Linked DNA regions of Drosophila melanogaster. The protein of the gene in region 1 purifies or fractionates together with the protein of each later gene. This does not show direct contact. Each region holds a gene or a part of one and is shown on either strand. Other genes may lie near its edges. The genes, in order: CG13928 and smg.

Region 1 (9,325 bases):
GGGCGGCGATGGCGAGATTGTGGGCGGACCACACAATCCGCAGCAGATCGCGGCACAGAAGCGTCTGCAGCAGACGCAGGCGCAGGTCGATGAGGTGAGTTCCGGGACTGAAAGTCGATCACAGATCAGCCATTCCATTAACCACTGCAACCCTGAATCCCCGACCAGGTCGTGGACATCATGCGCACGAACGTGGAGAAGGTGCTGGAGCGCGACAGCAAGCTGTCGGAGCTGGACGACCGTGCCGATGCCTTGCAGCAGGGTGCCTCGCAGTTTGAGCAGCAGGCGGGCAAGCTCAAGAGGAAATTCTGGCTTCAGAACTTAAAGGTAAGTGCGACGATGGCAGTTACCTTGTCGGACCGAACTTCAATCTTTGTTTTCTCCGCACAGATGATGATCATCATGGGCGTGATTGGCCTGGTTGTCGTGGGCATTATTGCAAGTAAGTTGACAGATCCTGGGCGAACTTGGTGCACTCATTTCTGGGACACACATACCCCAGAGAAACTGACCTTGACCCACGCCACACCACACCACACCACTCGACTCACCACGCACACACAGAACCGAAGATACTTTCAAGATCACCCAGTTACCCAGTTGTGTTTGTCTTTTGAGTTCGCCTTGATTTAGCGCTGATTTCGTTGGCCCAAATCGCTTTCGTTTATCTACACACCGAATCTAAATTGCGTTCTTAATTCCGCCACTTTTTTTCTCTAGGTAACTTTATGTAGATTGCTAACTATCTAATCCGTAAGAATTTAGTTCTTAGCCGCAATGCAATGCAAATCGAAACCAAATCAAAAGCCAATCAATCAACCCAATAAGAACCAATCGAAATCCAAATCGAAACCAAAACCGAAACCAAATTCAACTCATTCACAACTGCTATGAGTAGAGCTGCGAACTCACAGTCCAACTGACCGTTCGCTCAACCGATTCGACCTAGATGCCTTGCGAAATTCCCATAACTATAGATCGATCGATCATATCATGTCATGCGCTTCAGCCACCACTAGAACAATAACTAAATGCTAAGTGGCATACATATGCGAGTATTTGTATTGTGTACCATGTATGCCCAAGCCCAACATCATCTGGTTCCATACGAGCATACGCACAGGTTCGGTAAAGATTTCATTTGATGCCCACTGAAAGTCGTGTCCTGTGTTGTTTCGTTTCGTTACGTTGCCTAACCACCACCAGTAATCAAGTTGAGATCACGCCGAGTATCGGATCCGCCAGCTCCGTCCATGTGGGTTGCGGCTGAGGGTCTGGACGACAATGGAAGGACCCCGGCCAGAAGCCGATCTGGCGGAGATGGACCGATACTCAATGGTGCCCGTTAGCCTTATCCGTAGGACCTTAAGTTCTAGCTAGCTAGTTCTAACTCCCGTAAGCCGTAATCGTAAAGTTTGTGGTTTGTTCAGTGTTTCGTTAACCGTATCCGTATCCGTATCCGTTTTTCGTTTGTTTCGTTCTGATATTGGCAGCAGCACCCCAGCCACAGACACACGACTGTGCCATGTCCTGTGTAAAATACAAAACTTGAATCCACTTCCCCAGTAAAAGTAGTCCCTTCTCGTAACTCGTTACTCAATACTAAGCCTTCACGCAACTCGTTACTCGTTACTCGTTACTAAGCCTCCACGCAAGCGCAACGGCCTTCGGATTGGAAAAGCCAGCCTTTCTTGTGCCACTGAACCACAGCAAAAGCATAAAGTACTGCCATTCTTCTTCATTTACCTAAGTTTTTTTTTAATGTTTTCACCTTGATTTGACACACTCTCAACACCGAACCATATTTTTGAACAATTACAGAGAAAGACGAAGAATAATCACACAGAAAGCTTCAGCTTTGTACAATTTTATTAACCATAAGCAAATCAATTTACCCAATATAACACTTTGTGTGTGAGGTAAACAGCGAGAGCAATCTTTTATTTATTACTCATACGCCACATTTATTGCTAGGTGCACCAGTTGATAAATCCTTTGTTTTACATCGCTCAAAACCGTTTCTATATTTATACTTTATTGTTATCATCTTTATCTGCTCGCTTTGAAAACAAATCGATTTGAATTAAACAACAACATGAACTCACCGAAAAATTTCTCGTAGAACCGTACATGTCGGATGATAATGCTGCTCCGCAGCCTCCTGCCTTGCAGCAGCAGGTGGCTCCGGCATCGGCAACTGCACCTGATTCAGCACCACCACCACCACCACAACTACTACAACAACAAGAACAACAACTACAACCACACCACCATACACAAAATCTAAAATCTGAACCACCGACACTCGAGAAACCATTGGCCGAGAAATTGACCGACCACCCACAGAGTCCGTCGAATGAAGTGGCGACTGGACAATAGAACGCTCACGATCTCTCTTGAAAACCAACATTCAACCAACCAACCAACCAACCAACCAACCAAACTAATCAGCCATCGATTAACCACCAAGACGCATCCGTAGAACCATAGTCAAAATTAATCAAAATCGAAAAGAAAACATTTCACACTTTCTTTGTACCATTGACAAAATCGATCTAATCCGATACACTGTAAGCAAACGAAAAAACGGCAACATATCAATGCAAATAATCATACCCAGTAATTTGACACCTGCGCTTCTTCTTACTTCCGTTTCCGTTTGTGCTCCCACTTCCGTTTCCGCCGTTCCTCTGGTTTTATATTATTTCGGCTGGCTGTAAACGGTGTCTCATCGTTTACCGCCAGCCTTAGCCGCATGTATGTGAGTTAATCGATGTCTATGTGTGATTAGTGCCTTATTATTTGATTTTTACAATTCAATGTTGTATGTATTTTAAAATTGGCCTAAGTTTATTGCACCAAAAGCGAGAGGACTTCTCTTCGGGAGGCTCAAAGGAAGACAGCTTCCAGTGACTGCCTAAATGTACATAAATATATATGTATATATATATATATATATCCATACCTGTTCGATGCAGTTGTCCCTGCTGTCCGCCCCCACCCACCGTCCACATCCCATGTCCACTTGCTATATTCCGTCATGAGTGAGCTTTTAAGCCTTGAAGTGTAATATTTTTGGCGTATACTCGTGTATCGTTGTCTGAGATTGGCTAAAGAGCGCAAAGAGCCATCACATGTCGTGCCCTACTAATTCTTGCATCATTTTAAAACAGATAAACTTGGACTCATAGGCGGGGAGCAGCCGCCACAGTACCAGTATCCCCCACAGTACATGCAGCCACCGCCGCCGCCACCGCAGCAGCCAGCCGGAGGACAGTCATCGCTGGTGGATGCGGCAGGAGCAGGAGACGGAGCAGGAGCAGGAGGATCGGCAGGAGCTGGCGATCACGGCGGCGTGTAAGCAATCCCGCTGCCAGGACGAAAGTTTCTCGATTAGTGTGCTCCTTCAGCGGGCGAAAACAAAGCAGAGAAGACAAAAGAAAACCAAGAAAGGAAAACTCAGTTAAACTAGAAAATCTCGAGAATTGCAATGAAAACTCAATAATAATTTTCACTTAGACGATGTGCACGAGTTGGTGTGAGAGGTTTTAAGTAACTTACGTCATAATATTAATACTAAATCTAATGCAGACGCTCCGGACAATTTGAAGTTGTTGCTAATTTGTTTATGGTTACATTATTTCATGCATAAAACGGTATATATAATTATAAATATAAATACAAATCTAAATACAAATACAAATATATGGAACTTGAATATTACGAGTGACTCCAACCACTACCCTGTACTACCACCCTATACGGAACTAGCATCTCTACGCTGCACTGGCAACAAGGAGCGCCAGTGGAAGCAGGAGGACAGGCGGTCGCTTCCCGATGTTCGCAGCTCTTTGAACTCAGTTTCCTTAGCAAATCGACTAGACAAAACTAACAGAATCATAACTATTTCGGAACAGACGCGAAACCAAAGAAATGAAATCTAAGCTTTGTTCCTAAGTAAAGTTACGCAAATATGATATTCGAAATGTATAATCCAAAAAGATGAATTTGAATCGACGGGCCGCCAGAGAAAAGGCAGTTAAATGTTTTCAAGCAAGTTTACTTATACAAAAACAGCAAGCGTAGTCGGCTGGAAAAAAAAACAACAAACAAAAAAGAAATGAAGCCAGCAGCAAAAGCTAATAATCCCAAAGTCTAGTGAAAATATACAAGCGATTCATTTGCTGCGTTTTGTTTACGTGCGCGCTATCATTACTGTTGTGTTTGAGAATAGCTCGAAAGGTTCGATTGAAAGCGGAATCCAGACAGTTCAACGATTAAATTAAGCGCTAGACACAAAATACGTTGGTTATCCACAGGACTTAGTTAGCTCGACGAGGCATACATATATGTTTGTATATTTCAATGTTACGAGTAATAGACGAGGCGGTAATTAGAGCATATATATGTACGTGTATGTAACGATATGATATCTAGATCTCACACACTCCACCCGAACACATTGCCCCCATCACAACCGATAGCCAATCAGGATCAGAATCAGAATCTGATTCAGGATCAGATTCAGATTCAGATTCAGATTCAGAGAGCCACAGCTCTCAGCACATATTGTACCCAACTTGTTCTGAAGATACAGCATACAGTACGTTTAATGTATTAACTAATTGATTCTACAAGCGCCTGCCCAAAGTGCTTTGCCTACCAACACATTGGGGCACGAACAAAATCGAAATTAATTAGAGAAAAAACCAAAGATTAATGGCGAAAACGAAATCGAAATCCAATTCCAAATCCGAATGCAGGTATTTTTAGCAATATTCGTAGCGTGTACAATATGTCGCCCTTAAAGCTTATTAGAATCAATCTCGTTCAATGTCCATCTCAACTCACCCAGGCACTTCACATGCATATAACCATTAACAGATATAAATCAATATATGTATGTAATAACCAATGACAAATGTTTAGAAGAGTTTCGATTTTTGTTTGGATTTTAAGCAGACCCGAAAAGAAAACAATTGTATACACAGAAACAACACCCATGAAGCCCCTGAGTACGGAGAGCCCACTGGAGCTCCTGGCATCGCATTGCGATTTCCCGGAGTCCTTTTGGGCGGCGGAGTAATTCCGAAGTAATTCCCGTCTACCAAGACGGACACACAAAACAAAGAAAAACTCTATAAGAATCCCCGAAAGCAACAGACGGCTAATGAGAGTATATATATATATGAACCGTATATAAACAATAATATTACTAATTAATTTAATGATTAATTGCACCCCGAAAATACATAATTATTTAAATAAATAAATAAAAACAAAACCAACGTGTTTTCTAAAGCTGGGTAAGCATATTGATTGAAGTAGGTGGGTATTTAAATGAAAACAATAACTTCATTGTTTTAAATATTAATTATGTGGAAATTTCCCAATGCTGACATGTTCTCCAAGCTCGTGAACCAGATTAACTCCCAAATTGGGCGACAAAGGATGCGCTGCCTAAAAATAGGAGCACACAAAAAGTGTAGCATACTATCCAGCGCACTAAACTGCGCACTTGGTCTGCATACATAAATACCAATTGGGGCGCAGACAGCGTGCAAACAGGGTAATGGAAATAGAAACCCGTCTGCGGTGGGGAGCCTACGCTTATGTCAGACAAGTGGGGGAGCACCAGGCGCCTATTTACCACACACACACACACACTTGCCACACCTGATTAAAATCTATTGACAATGCAGGCGACGCGAAATTGGAGCGGCGCTAACAAGGCTCCACAAAGGAATCGATGGCCCCTGCGACGGAACAGGACCAAAGCCGCCCGGCAACCAGCACTTAATGAAACCCAATTACCGCAGGTGTCCGCCAGGCAAATCCTGGCGGCGGATGGCAAACAATAACAGCTGCTGCCGCAGCACCTGCAAATTTTATTTGCATTTTCCTGCCATTCTAACACCTCCCAACTTTTTCCCAGGGGTATATTGGTTTCTATTAGAAACTTGCTATTCAAATAGTTGGTGTTCTACAAATTTTATAGATTTAAATTGCGAGTTCCACTCGTATGTATACTTGATATGTGCTAACATATTTAAAAATCGATTTGAAAAATGCATAATTGTAAGTCCCTGCATTCCTGGTAACTCTGAGGTCTCAACTCGCAGTCAACGAAAAATCACTTGTTTATTGTTATCAACTTCGATGCCATTTCCCGGCAAGGACATGCGCAAACACCCCCACTTCCGCCCACATCACTTGGCCATCATCCCCTCTGCGACACCAAGGATTAGGGAAAGGAAAAGCAGAAGGGACACATCTCCGAGTGGAGCAGAGTGGCGTATAAATACCACGCAGCTCGTGCGCACAGCCTCAGTTGGCGGACCGTGTTGCTCGCGATTCCCTTTTCCCAGTCGCTGCGTCCGCAGGTGAGAGTTCATCCGGGAAACGGCCAACTGTTGCCAGTTGCACTCGGCGGGTGGCGCGCTGCAGGGAGCAGTATAACGGCCCCAATTACTGCCCCAACTGCAGCAAATTACGGGTGTGAATTTGATTAATTGCCTTGAAAAGCGATTGTGAGCAGAGCAGAAGTGACTGTAAGCCGGGGATTTGATATAACGACTTGTATGTAAAGTTGACCCCATTTCCGCTTTAATTGGCCATAACAACACAAAGTAAGTAGTGCTCTTCGTACGATTTGTACTATAAGTAAAGTTATTGCTACTTCCGAAAGCATGGTAGTATTTAAAGTATTATTTTGGAATTCTAGTTCCACATTCAAGGACAATCTATCATATACAATACAAATCTTTAGAATATGCGATTTATAATTATACAGCATAAAAGCGATGCCAAACTACAGTAAAAATGTTATGCTAACATATCATATCCAAGATTATATTATGTTTCATCAATCTGGCCAGTTAAATATACAAATGTATAAAATGTGAAAAAAACATATAACCTTAAAATCACTGGTGTAACGGTGTTTCAATCCTTCTACTGCACACACTGCACTTACCCCTATTTCCAACACTGTCGTGCAGAGGAGCCCCAATCGAGTGGCACTGGGGGTGAGTGCTGGCGAGAACAAAACTGGTTGCCAGTCGGGTCGGCGGCTGGTCAATCATATGGCGAGAATAGTGGTTAAAGCCACCCCTGGCGTGGCAGCTTTATCGGGGGTTGCATGTGGTGTTGGGATTGCACGGTGTGCCGAGTGTATCCGATTCCGACTTCTATTCCGAATCCGAATCGGCGGACCTGGTCTCGAATTCGGAAACGCAATCGGTGGCTCGCGCACAGTCAGTCTGCAAACTTCGGAGCGTGCGGTTGTCAAGTTTCGGTCGTCTGCGTGTTTTCTCTTTCCCGATTTCAGCACTCTTCCCGCACACACACACACAGCACTCGCCACACACACACACACACACGGACGCAGACACAGGAAGAAGAGTGAGAGAGGGTGGAGCGGAGAGGAGGCGACTTTCGCTCGAATTTCTCGCTTGTTGTTATTGCTGCTGCCTGCTGCTGTTGCCGTTGTTGCTGTGGCCGTAGTGTATATACCCACTGTGTGACTCCACAGTGTGCGTGTGTTTTTTCCTGAAAGTTCGAATTCTCTTTTTCCGCCTGCTTGAATCAGACTCGGGTTCGGATTCAGAATCGAAATCGATAGTCACCAACCAACTAACCAGCCAGCCAACTAACCAATCAACCAACCAAAGTCACCATGGCCGACAACAATAACTGCCCAAAGTGCAAAAAATCGATCGCCGCCAAGGAGGCCACGAGCATCGGGTGCAGCGGCGAGGACTGCCGGAGAAGGTACCACCGCACGTGCGTCAACATCGACGACGCGGTCTTCGAGGCGATCCAGAAGAACTCGATGATATCCTTTCACTGCGACGAGTGCAAAAACCAGTCGCCACGAGCCTTCGCGGCCAAGCTGCACACCATCGAGGAAAAGGTCAATAAGGTGTGCAACGGGGTCAACCAGATCCAGGGCCGTATGTACCAGCAGTACTTCCAGTTTGGCAACCAGCCGCTTCAGGCATTGGGCGCCTCGGCCGCCGGCGTGGGTGGCGGCGGCCTGGGTGGCGGACTGGACGGGAAGAAGCATCCGCAGCAGAACAACCTCATTGTGGTAGGAAACAATTGTAACTCCGACCGACTGCAAGTGGTCTGCGACTACGGGCGCTGGGTGCAGGTGGGCAAGTTCGCCACGAACACCAGCGAGGAGGACGTGATCGATCACCTGGCCGAGGAGCTGAAGATCAACAAGAACCTGGTCAAGTGCACCAAGCTGGTGAAGAACGATGCCAACCTGTCGCAGTTGTCGTACTGCAAGTTCAAGATCTCCATTCCGGACTACCGCTTCAACGAGCTCTTCAACGAGGCCATCTGGCCCAGCGGCGTGATGGTCAGTCCCTTCACTCCGCGCTCCCAGCTCAACCAGAATCGCCTCTAGAGGAACGGGCCCGGCAGCCGGGAGAGCGGTGACCGGGCGAGGGTGAAGCAGGAGCATAGGACAGGCTGAGCAGGATGAGGAGGATGAGCAGCTGGAGAGCAGGTAGCCAAGGGAGAGAGTGCGCCTGCGCAGGGAGCGGATGAATGATTACGAGCAGCAGCAGCAGGAGGAGGAGGAAGAGGAGGAACTGCATCGCGGCCTGGCAAACAAGGGTTGCTATACGGACTGCAGCACACCGCGGATTCCCCCGAGTGCGCCGACTTGGGCTGATTGATGGAGCAGCAGACGGAGGAGCAACTATGTGCCCCCATTGTATGCTAATTTTCGACACTCGAAAACATTGTCTAGATCTTTAAAAGCTTACAGAACCTATCTAATGGAAAACCAAGAGCATATTTATTGAATTAACTTTGAAAATGCATTTTAAAATGTTTTAGCGTTGCGTAAATAACGAAATGAAATCGATAAAGAAAACCAAAAGTATTTTAATGGCAAACTCACAAGTAAAATAGATGTGAAGCAAAAAATATTAGTCATTTATGCATTACTGTCGTACTTAAATTAAAGTAAACCGAAAACAAAACGAGAAAACTAAGGAAACCAACTAAACGTACTTAAAGAGACACTCACACACACACACACACACACACACACACCGAAAGCGGTTATTCAGGCGCGTATTTAAACCATTTACCAATCAAACATTCAACCCAGTCAATCCAGGCACCGAGGTTCTCCCTTCATCTTCATTTTCCAACTCACTTCCGGGGTGTGGGGATCCTACGGATCGACCAGACCTACGGAGATTCTACTACGACGCGTGTGCGACTACCTATCACATTAAGTACTTAACCGTAACCAATATCAAAACCTATATTCAAGCAGACGACGGCTTATATTGTATTCGTA
Region 2 (9,325 bases), 7.4 Mb from region 1:
TCCTTGTTGATTGATAAAACGCACGCGGATAACACCTTTTAGGGCTTGCGTGGGCTGGGCGGCCAGTTGCCGGTAGCCATCCTCCACAATACGATCGCGATGAATGACAATTAGTGCGGATCGAGGTGAGGCGCAGGCACTCTCCGTCAGACCCATCACCGCCTTCTCATTCTGCACGAACTTTCGGAACAACTTGACCCGATCCTCGTGCGGTATAATGTGCGGCATCTTGGCGAGCAGCAGCATCGCATTCCTCTTGGCCTTTTCCAGGTCATTGATGAACGTGGAGGGTTTCACCTCTGGTATCAGCCAGTGTTTGGGTGGCGTGAATGGGCGACGACAATCGCGGCGGTACAAGCAAAGCATCAGAGTGTGCAGCGAGAGGAAAACCGGATGCTGGACAATGTTCTTGGCACCTGCTGGAGATTGCAAAATGCATTTAACATTTTCAGTCAATTAAATATAATTATTTTCTGATTCTATTAAATATTAATTGCTTATTTATAGCCGCTGCATTTAGACTAACTAGGGAAAACTAATTAAATTAGATTAAAGCAGACTTACCCAGAAGATTATCGTTAATAAGTTTATAGAGAATATTATTAAGGAAGTAGGTCAGCAACACGTAGTCGTTGAGTTTGAAAGGATTCTGCTCCGTGTACATTTCGTGTTCATCCAGAATCCTACAGAGATGGTTTTACATGTTTTAAAACTAAGTTCAGTTTTAAAATGAATCTACATACGTTACGTAGTGCGTCATGCAGTCGCAAAAGAGCATCAGCATGGCGGTCTGTGGCTTTTGCAAGTTTGTTTCGGACTTCAGCAGCTCCAAGTACTCCTTCATGCCACAATTGGGGCCAAGGGACGTGATTAGCAACCAAATATCATATAGCACATTGTCGCTGTAGCAAATGCCAGTCAGAATGTCCAGTTTCATCTGGGAAAGCGTGTTGAGGGCGGCATAATACATGCCGCAGATTCGTGACACCTGCACCACCTCCGCACTGTCGAGCTTGCGCCACTGCTGCTTAGACTGCTTGCTGCTCGCCACTCCCATTAAGTTTACACCTCTCGTGGAGCTGCGCTCCAAGGCCCGACGCAGCAGATTCGATATAGATGGTTGTTGGGGAGATTGAAACTCGATCCGCTCGTAGTTAAGATTGATTTGCTTCAAGAGATCTCCGAGCAACAGTTTTATGCAGCGATGATCCCACAACATGTGGAACTGCTTCTTAATCAGCGCCACATTCTGATTTTGAGCAGGCTCCGGACCCGGAGTATGCCATCCTAAAAGCTCGTGCCACTGAGTAAATACTCCCTTAGTGGTCACCGTGTTGGGTATTAGTTCCAACAGCGATGTGGTGGTTTCCTATAAGGATTACAAGTATAAGTTTTTCAATCAAGAAGCGTTTATGTAAAACTCACAGTCAGTAGTGGATAGGCCAACTCCTTGGACTCCCCTTGGCCATCGATATTGAACAAATTCACTATGTTTCCCAGAAAAGCCAGGGACTTGGTGCCCGGCATGCTAGTGCCGAACTCCTCGAACCACTGCACGTCCCCCGAAATGCTAAGCGCCTTCTTAAGCAGTCCCATCGATGAGAACTGTTCCAGGCACTGAGGTACACTCTGTTGCAGATGGTAGATTAAAGCGGGCACAGACAGAATCTCCGACAGAAACTTTGCCAGTAGATTACGACTGAAGTTGCCATCGATCAGGGGACGAAGGCAAAGTGTAATGATGGCCACCAGGGTGACGGGCTTTACAGACAACTCCTCGCGAACAGTGCCGCGTATCAAAACGAGCTGGATGATAATATGGAGAATAACATGAATAAGCTTATTAAAAGAATAAAAGTCACAACATACCCGCATGATTTTGTAAAAATCGTGCTGCACCAGATGACCTTGAATATTACAACAGATTTTTTGCATGGCCGGCTGCAGTTTCTCAAACTGGGCATTCCTGAGTATCGCCCAGGATTTGGGCGCCGTGAAGACTACCAGTGTGTGCAGAAATAGGGCAAGGGACAAGCTGTCGGCATGGTTTTCCGGCTTCAGCTCCGGCAGCAATGTCAGGCAGTTCGTGAGCAGTATCTTGATGTGCGCGATCCAGGGCAGGCTGCGTTCCTTAAAAAGACAGAGGGCGGCATAGGATAGCTTGGTGTTCTCCGACTCCATTGCCTTGATGATGTAACGGCAGATGCGCTCCAGACGCTCCCGTGCACGCACATCGCTCTTGTCCAGCCTGATCTGGGTGAGGTAGCGACGAAGCACCGGATAGACGTTGCTTGCCACGAGTTCCAGTTCCGCATCCTTATCGTCATGATTCTCAGTGAACATGGCATCGAAATCGAGTCTGCAAAACGGGTTACTATTTAGGATGTTCCATAAAAGTAGATAGACACTTACATGATTCGTTTCTGGTACTTCCTACGCGCCGCATATCCCTTGAGCGTGGACTGCAGCAGGATGGCCGCCTGTTCGCGTCGCTTTTCCAGTGCCCGCTCCTCCCGCGCCGCCTTTGTCTGCTCCAGGAAGCTGGCCTTTTGGTTTTGGGCAAACATTTTGCTCTGCAGCAGGTTGAAAGAATTTTGTTGATGATGTATTGTTGTTGACCAGAGCGTTTGTTTTTGTCGGGATTGTGGCCGTTCCGGGATGTATTTATCGTTTCAATCACTTCCTCGAGCTGAACGCTATCCCAGAGCCTTGATTCAGAGCCTCGCTGGATATTTTCTGCATTGCATATCGAGCAAAATGCAAAAAGAAAATATCCTTATTTTGTTCCAATTGGTGGTACAGTGTCACCGTCTCCGCTTACTGTCAAATAACCACAGAAATAGGCCAAAGCGCGGAGATCATTTTTGTTGGCAATTTTCTAGCTAAAACCGTGGTTTGAGTCCGCGCTGCATGAGCACGGCATCGAACCTAGGGCAGCTTTGCTGCTCAACTGAGCGTCCATCACCAAGGGAAAGTAACCGATAACCGCTTGCAAGAAAGATCGACTGTATCGAGTACACATCGATTTTTGTTCCAGCACTAGCAACGCTGCGTTCGCGTGAATAAATAATTAATTAATTGCTGAAAAAATGGATTAGCTGGCGAAACATGCATCCGACCAAGTGCAACAGCAACCGTGCGCAGTACTCAGTAATCGGGCGTTTGTGAGCGTAAGCGCCATGAATTGTGTGTCTAAAAAAAAGTAATGGTTTAGCAAAAACAACAACGCTAAAGCCCAAAAGTGCTAATAAAAAGTACACACATACGCACTCACACAAACGCGCGCGCGAGCAAAGGTGAAAATTATAAATTAATAAATACGCGATCCGATAGCATATCAAATTAGCGAAATATGCTCGTTTCTCGTGCTGATCGAATCAAAACTGTGAATTGCAACAGAAAATAATTTCAAGGTTTGCAGCAGGCGAATAGAAGGCGAAAAGGTAATTGAAAAATAGAACGAATTTTGGCACAAGCGCACTGTAGCTATATATTTTTGTTGTCTGGCCGACCGTGGCTAGGTGGGTGGGGCGTGATTTTGGGGGCCAATCTTGTGTGTTCTGTGTACTGTGCGCTGCTGCTCTGTGTGGTGAAAACAACAAAACCCGCTTACCCCGCAGGAGCCCCACCCCTCTCCCTTAAATGTAATGCATGTAATTTACCGCAATTTTGCCCGTGCATTGCTCAGTGTGTCACTCTCACTCGCACACATACCACTGCCGACGAGCGCAGCAAGGTCTCCGTCTGTGTGTGCGTGTAAGTGAGTGCTCTCCCCATTTTCTTGACAGCAGTAGCAGCATCAGCATCAGCATCAATCCTGTCAGAAAAAAAAGGCGCGCGCTCCTTTTCGCCCGTTTCGCTCTGCCTGCCGCTGCGCTGCTTCTGCAGCTCCACCATTTTCTTTCTAAATCGCTGACGCCAGCGCCAAATCATTCGCCATCAGCCGCTCCTCCTCCGCGGTGCTCCCCACTGCAGCTTCTCGTCTTCAGCTGAGCTTCGCTGTGCTAAACCAATTCTTCTGTTCTGTGTGGTTGGATCTGCAGTTTTGCAGATATAATCAAATTTATTCGCAACGTACATATGTAAATAAAAGCGTTCGGAATATGCCAAGCGCCTGTGATCGCGACTGCTGAAAGGGCAGCCAAAATACGATAATATATAAGAGCGTGTGAGTTTGCAGTATCCTTTACGTTTGCGTGTGTGTGCGTGCTTGCAATCTTTGAACTTTGAACTTTTGTTGAACTTCGGTAATTTTTTTATTTGCAAGCCGGTTAGAAAACAACAGCAATTGCAGTGACGCATAACCTCAAAGATCGACATGCACAAGTACCGTTAGATCGAGTCGCCCCAAACGACTCTTTTGCGCTCCCAGTCTCGCAGGGAAATGTGAAATTTCATATAAAACGTTACGTTAAATAGCAAAGAAGTTAACATCGGTAAATTCCATAGCAGTGAATGTGCTTTAAATGCAGTAATTGGGGCCCGTTATGTTTTACTGCTTGCTCACACACACTAACTTAAGTTGGGGTACCAATACACAGTCAGTTACACTGTCTCTGGCTTAGATTACAGTCAACACTCGATGTCGTAAACCAGGATAAAAAAATAAAATGCAGCAATTTCTCTTAAAACTACATTTTACATTAAAAAATAGATACTTTAATTTTCAAATTTTTTGACTCCCATGCGTTGATTTGTTCAATGTTTTGTGTGCTTACTGTGAAAACACGGCAACAAAAATCGAAGAAAGTCGTCAGAGTAAAAGCAATAATAACAACAACAGCAACGGCGGCAGAAGAAACAAGATTCGAAATGGGCACAAACGAAACTAAATGAAAAGCGCGAAACTGTGCAAAAAAAATACAACCTAACCAAACTTCTCGCCCCCGCTCTACTTTCCCGCCCGGAAATCAAAATCCGAACGCCGCCAAGTCGAAATCAGCGATTTCGTATTTGAAATGTTTGTTATTTTATTGATTTATCGTCCCTCGTCATTTGCGCCATCAAAGCGAATCGAAGGTGTTATATATTTGTTGCTTGTTTATTTGCTTTCCTGATAAGCCAGCCGACCAAGCAAATGCTAATTTCCATTCGTCAATTACAGATAATTGTTGTTGCTATTGCGCTTGTAAATTTAACAAATTAGCGAAAACTGATTTGATTAAATTCGAACGTTATTTGCGGCTTAAAGTTTATTTTATTATCGCTGCACGGCACTCTAATCCCGAGTGGAGCAATGGCGACAAATCCATGGAATAAGGGAGAAGCTATTGATTGGATCACGTGGTTCGGAATTGTGGTATTTTTCTATGGAAGTGATTAGATTGGGCTAAACTAGGCTTTAAGCGAATGATACAGCTCATTGAGCATAAAAAAAATTGTATTACCACAGTCACAAAGTTTAGCTTTACATAATAGTTCAATTATTAATCCTACCCCGTTATCTTTACTTGCAGCAACGCAACCAAATAACCACAAAGAAGCCGTAACAAATACAATACCATAAACTATAGTAAGAACTATCCCCAAAAAACAAGAAGCAACTAACAACGAGATGAAGTACGCAACTGGAACTGACAACGCGATGACCTCCGGCATCAGCGGCCAAACCAATAACTCTAACAGTGCATCCAACGAGATGCAGCCAACCACATCAACGCCTACTGCAGCCCACAAGGAGGCCACATCAACGGCCACGACGACGGCGACATACGCCAATGGCAATCCCAATTCTAACGCCAATCCCAGCCAGAGCCAGCCGTCCAATGCGCTGTTTTGCGAGCAGGTGACCACAGTGACAAATCTCTTCGAGAAGTGGAACGACTGCGAGCGAACCGTCGTGATGTACGCGCTGCTCAAGCGGCTGCGCTACCCGAGCCTCAAGTTTCTACAGTATTCTATCGACAGCAACCTGACCCAGAACCTGGGCACCTCCCAGACCAATCTGAGCAGCGTGGTTATTGACATCAATGCCAACAATCCGGTGTACCTGCAGAATCTACTCAACGCCTACAAGACGTTCCAGCCATGTGACCTGCTCGACGCCATGTCCTCCTCGTCGTCCGACAAGGACTCGATGCCATGCTACGGCAGTGACTTCCAGATCACCACATCGGCGCAGTGTGACGAGCGGAAGCTGTATGCCCGCAAGGAGGACATTCTGCATGAAGTACTGAACATGCTGCCTCTGCTGAAGCCGGGCAATGAGGAGGCCAAGCTTATCTACCTGACCCTTATACCAGTTGCCGTCAAGGACACCATGCAGCAAATTGTGCCCACGGAGTTGGTGCAGCAGATCTTCTCGTACCTACTCATCCATCCAGCTATCACCAGCGAGGACAGACGTTCGCTCAACATTTGGCTGCGTCACTTGGAGGATCATATCCAAGCGGCTGCGGCGGGCCTGACAAATCGCAGTTACTTCCTGCAGCCCTCGCCGCAACTGGTCGCTGGTGGTAGCTCAACAGGCAGTGGTAGCTGTTCCTCTTCGGCGACCAGCTCTTCGACAGCATCCTGTTCGTCGGTGGCCTCATCCTCGTTGTGCCCCGCAAGCGGCAGCCGTTCCTCACGCACCAACGACTGGCAAACGATCGCCCCGCCCAGCAAGCAATTGCAAAACAAATTGGCCGGTGATTGGCGTGGCAATGGAGGCGGCAGCTCCAGCGGGTCGATCAATCCACTCTGTGATAATCTTAATGGTATTACCCTGAACGAATTAGCTTCTAGTCAGAACAGTCTCGGCCTGTCGCTGGAGGGCAGCTCTTCCCTGGTCAACGGTGTGGTCGCTGGTGCAGGCTCTATGTTGGGAATCGCTGGTGGCGACGATCATGACACGTCATTTAGCAAGAATGGCACGGAGATTCTCGATTTTGACCCGGTGACGGCGGACATGGGTGAGGCCTGTAGTCTGGCCAGCAGTAGCCTTTGTGGACGTAACGGTGGAAATCCTGTTGAGGATCGATCGCAACCTCCGCCGAATCTTCAGCAGCAATTGCTTCAGCCTCCTCCCTATGCCTCGATCCTTATGGGAAACGTGGGCGATCAGTTTGGAGAGATCAACCGGTGGAGCCTGGACAGCAAGATTGCAGCCCTGAAGACGCGGCGCTCTAACAGCCTCACCACGCAAACGATCTCTAGCTGTTCCAGCTCGTCTAACTCATCGGTGATCACGGTCAATGACAACTGCTCCAATTCAACGGAGAATCTGGCACAGTTTGCCAACAAGCCCCGTAGTTTTTCCTTATCGATTGAGCATCAGCGCGGCGCCTTGATGAACAGCGGTTCCGATACTCGTCTGGATGAATTCAAGCCCAATTATATTAAGTTCCACACGCGCAACGTGGGCATGTCGGGAATCGGACTCTGGCTAAAATCCTTGCGTCTGCACAAGTACATCGAGCTGTTCAAGAACATGACGTACGAGGAAATGCTCTTGATCACCGAGGACTTTCTGCAGAGTGTTGGCGTCACCAAGGGCGCCTCCCACAAGCTTGCCCTTTGCATTGATAAGCTGAAGGAACGGGCCAATATTCTTAACCGGGTAGAACAAGAACTGCTATCGGGTCAAATGGAGCTGAGCACGGCGGTTGAGGAGCTAACAAATATTGTGCTGACACCAATGAAGCCACTGGAGTCTCCAGGACCACCGGAGGAAAACATTGGTCTGCGTTTTCTTAAGGTCATTGACATTGTGACCAATACGTTGCAGCAGGATCCGTATGCTGTCCAAGACGACGAGACTTTGGGTGTGCTTATGTGGATTCTAGACCGCTCTATCCACAACGAGGCATTTATGAATCACGCCAGTCAACTCAAGGACCTGAAGTTTAAGTTGTCCAAAATGAAGATCTCCATGGTTCCCAAAATGCATCACGTCAAGCCAGCCGGCGTCGGGCCAAACAATGGGAACATTAACAAGCCAAGGTAAGGTTTTCAATAAGATAAAAAGTAATGCATTTTAAAAATGAGCTGTTATTTTAGATGGAATGGTAAGACTCGCAAATGCGATACTAAAAATGGCAGCAACGATAGGATTAACAACCGCAAAAACTCCAACGACATGCTAAACTTTTCGCTAAATTGCCTGCCACACCCGCTGCCCCATCATTCGCAGCAGGCTCCGCCGCCTCTGCCACAGTTTGACTACAACGGCTATGGCGGCGGTCCATCCCATCAGCCGCAGTACAAGAGCTCCTCGTACCCAAGCTTCATGGGTAATCCTCAGCAGCAGCCACCACCGCCGCCGTCTAGTAAGTCGCATCATCATCCCCAGCAGATGCAACAGATGTTGCAGCAACACAACCACTTTCCAGCGCTGCCTCAGCAGACGCCACCACAATCGCATCGCCGGTCGCTGAATAATCTTATTCTGGTGGCCGGAGGTCCGCAGCAACCGCAGCAATTGATCTTTAAGCCCGGTCAGGGAGTGCTCACCAACAACGGATCTAACGACAACCTGGTATTGGAACGCAATCAGCAGTCGCAGCAGCAGCAGCAGCAGAGAAAACTTAGCGGAGGAGTGTCCAGTGCGGAGCAACAACCAAAGAAGACCATGGCCGCTGTTGTGATGGTTAGTAATCCAAACCAGAATCAGGACCAGCACGATCAGCCCCAGATCCTGATCAACAACAATAATAACAACAGCATGCTGAACAACAATTTGATTAACCAGCAACAGTTGCAACTTTTGGCAGCAGCTGCTGCCGCCGTGGGCAGTGGCAGCTGTCTGTGCTCCAATGGTGGTGGTGGTGCCTGTGTCCACAATATCTGTCACCAAAGCAGCAAGAACAACAATCATGGCGTAGACCATTGCCTGTCCCAGTCACCGTTGGGCAGCCTGGGCATGTCGCCCCACGTCACCGAGTACAAGATGAACGACTTTAAGAGCCTAGAACAGCTGGAGACGTTGTGTCGCCAAATGACTGAACAGGCAATGAACTGAGCAAGATTCAGGGCTATCTGGGTTTTGAAATCATCATGTAATGGCGTTAGATTTGAGGCTGCCAGCTGTTTTTGTGTTCATTTAGCTTTGAGCCGTGTTTGATGTTTGATTTCATAACGAACATAAATGTTTTTATATTTAGATATTTAAGATTCGTGTCTATTTTTGTGTCGCGTCAAGTTGTCCACCCTGCGTCTCCTTTCACATCCCGTTCTGTAATCGTTTTTAGTTAGTAAGACGATAGTTTGTTTTAATGTTAAGTTTATTAACTGTATGCCAAGGCGCCCCCAAAGATATGATCAATTGACTCGGGCTCGCAGGACCAACGGCTGGCCGATGAACTTGTGGAGCCCATGCTGCACTCCCCGACGGTAATCCCATGTC

What was found.
Region 2: the proteins of CG13928 (region 1) and smg purify together in Drosophila melanogaster (affinity purification with western blotting, with the first as the bait; one study listed by BioGRID). This does not show direct contact.

The regions. Positions count from the first base shown.
Region 1 is NT_037436.4:1,626,303-1,635,627, reverse strand, and holds the start of CG13928 (uncharacterized protein), read left to right. Parts: upstream 1-7,250; 5' UTR 7,251-7,678; coding exon 7,679-8,416; 3' UTR 8,417-9,325. Other genes in the region: nSyb (neuronal synaptobrevin), read left to right, coding at 1-94, 169-327, 391-442, 2,123-2,379.
Region 2 is NT_037436.4:8,991,697-9,001,021, reverse strand, and holds the start of smg (smaug), read left to right. Parts: upstream 1-3,927; 5' UTR 3,928-4,168; intron 4,169-4,450; exon of another isoform or gene 4,451-4,540; intron 4,541-4,772; exon of another isoform or gene 4,773-4,960; intron 4,961-5,104; exon of another isoform or gene 5,105-5,299; intron 5,300-5,456; 5' UTR 5,457-5,554; coding exon 5,555-7,923; intron 7,924-7,980; coding exon 7,981-8,941; 3' UTR 8,942-8,978; intron 8,979-9,325. Other genes in the region: CG5087 (uncharacterized protein), read right to left, coding at 1-419, 565-683, 744-1,369, 1,426-1,806, 1,870-2,359, 2,413-2,567. UniProt on the Drosophila melanogaster protein: Translation regulator that binds to the 3'-UTR of specific mRNAs such as nanos (nos) and prevents their translation. Prevents translation of unlocalized nanos in the bulk cytoplasm via the recruitment of cup.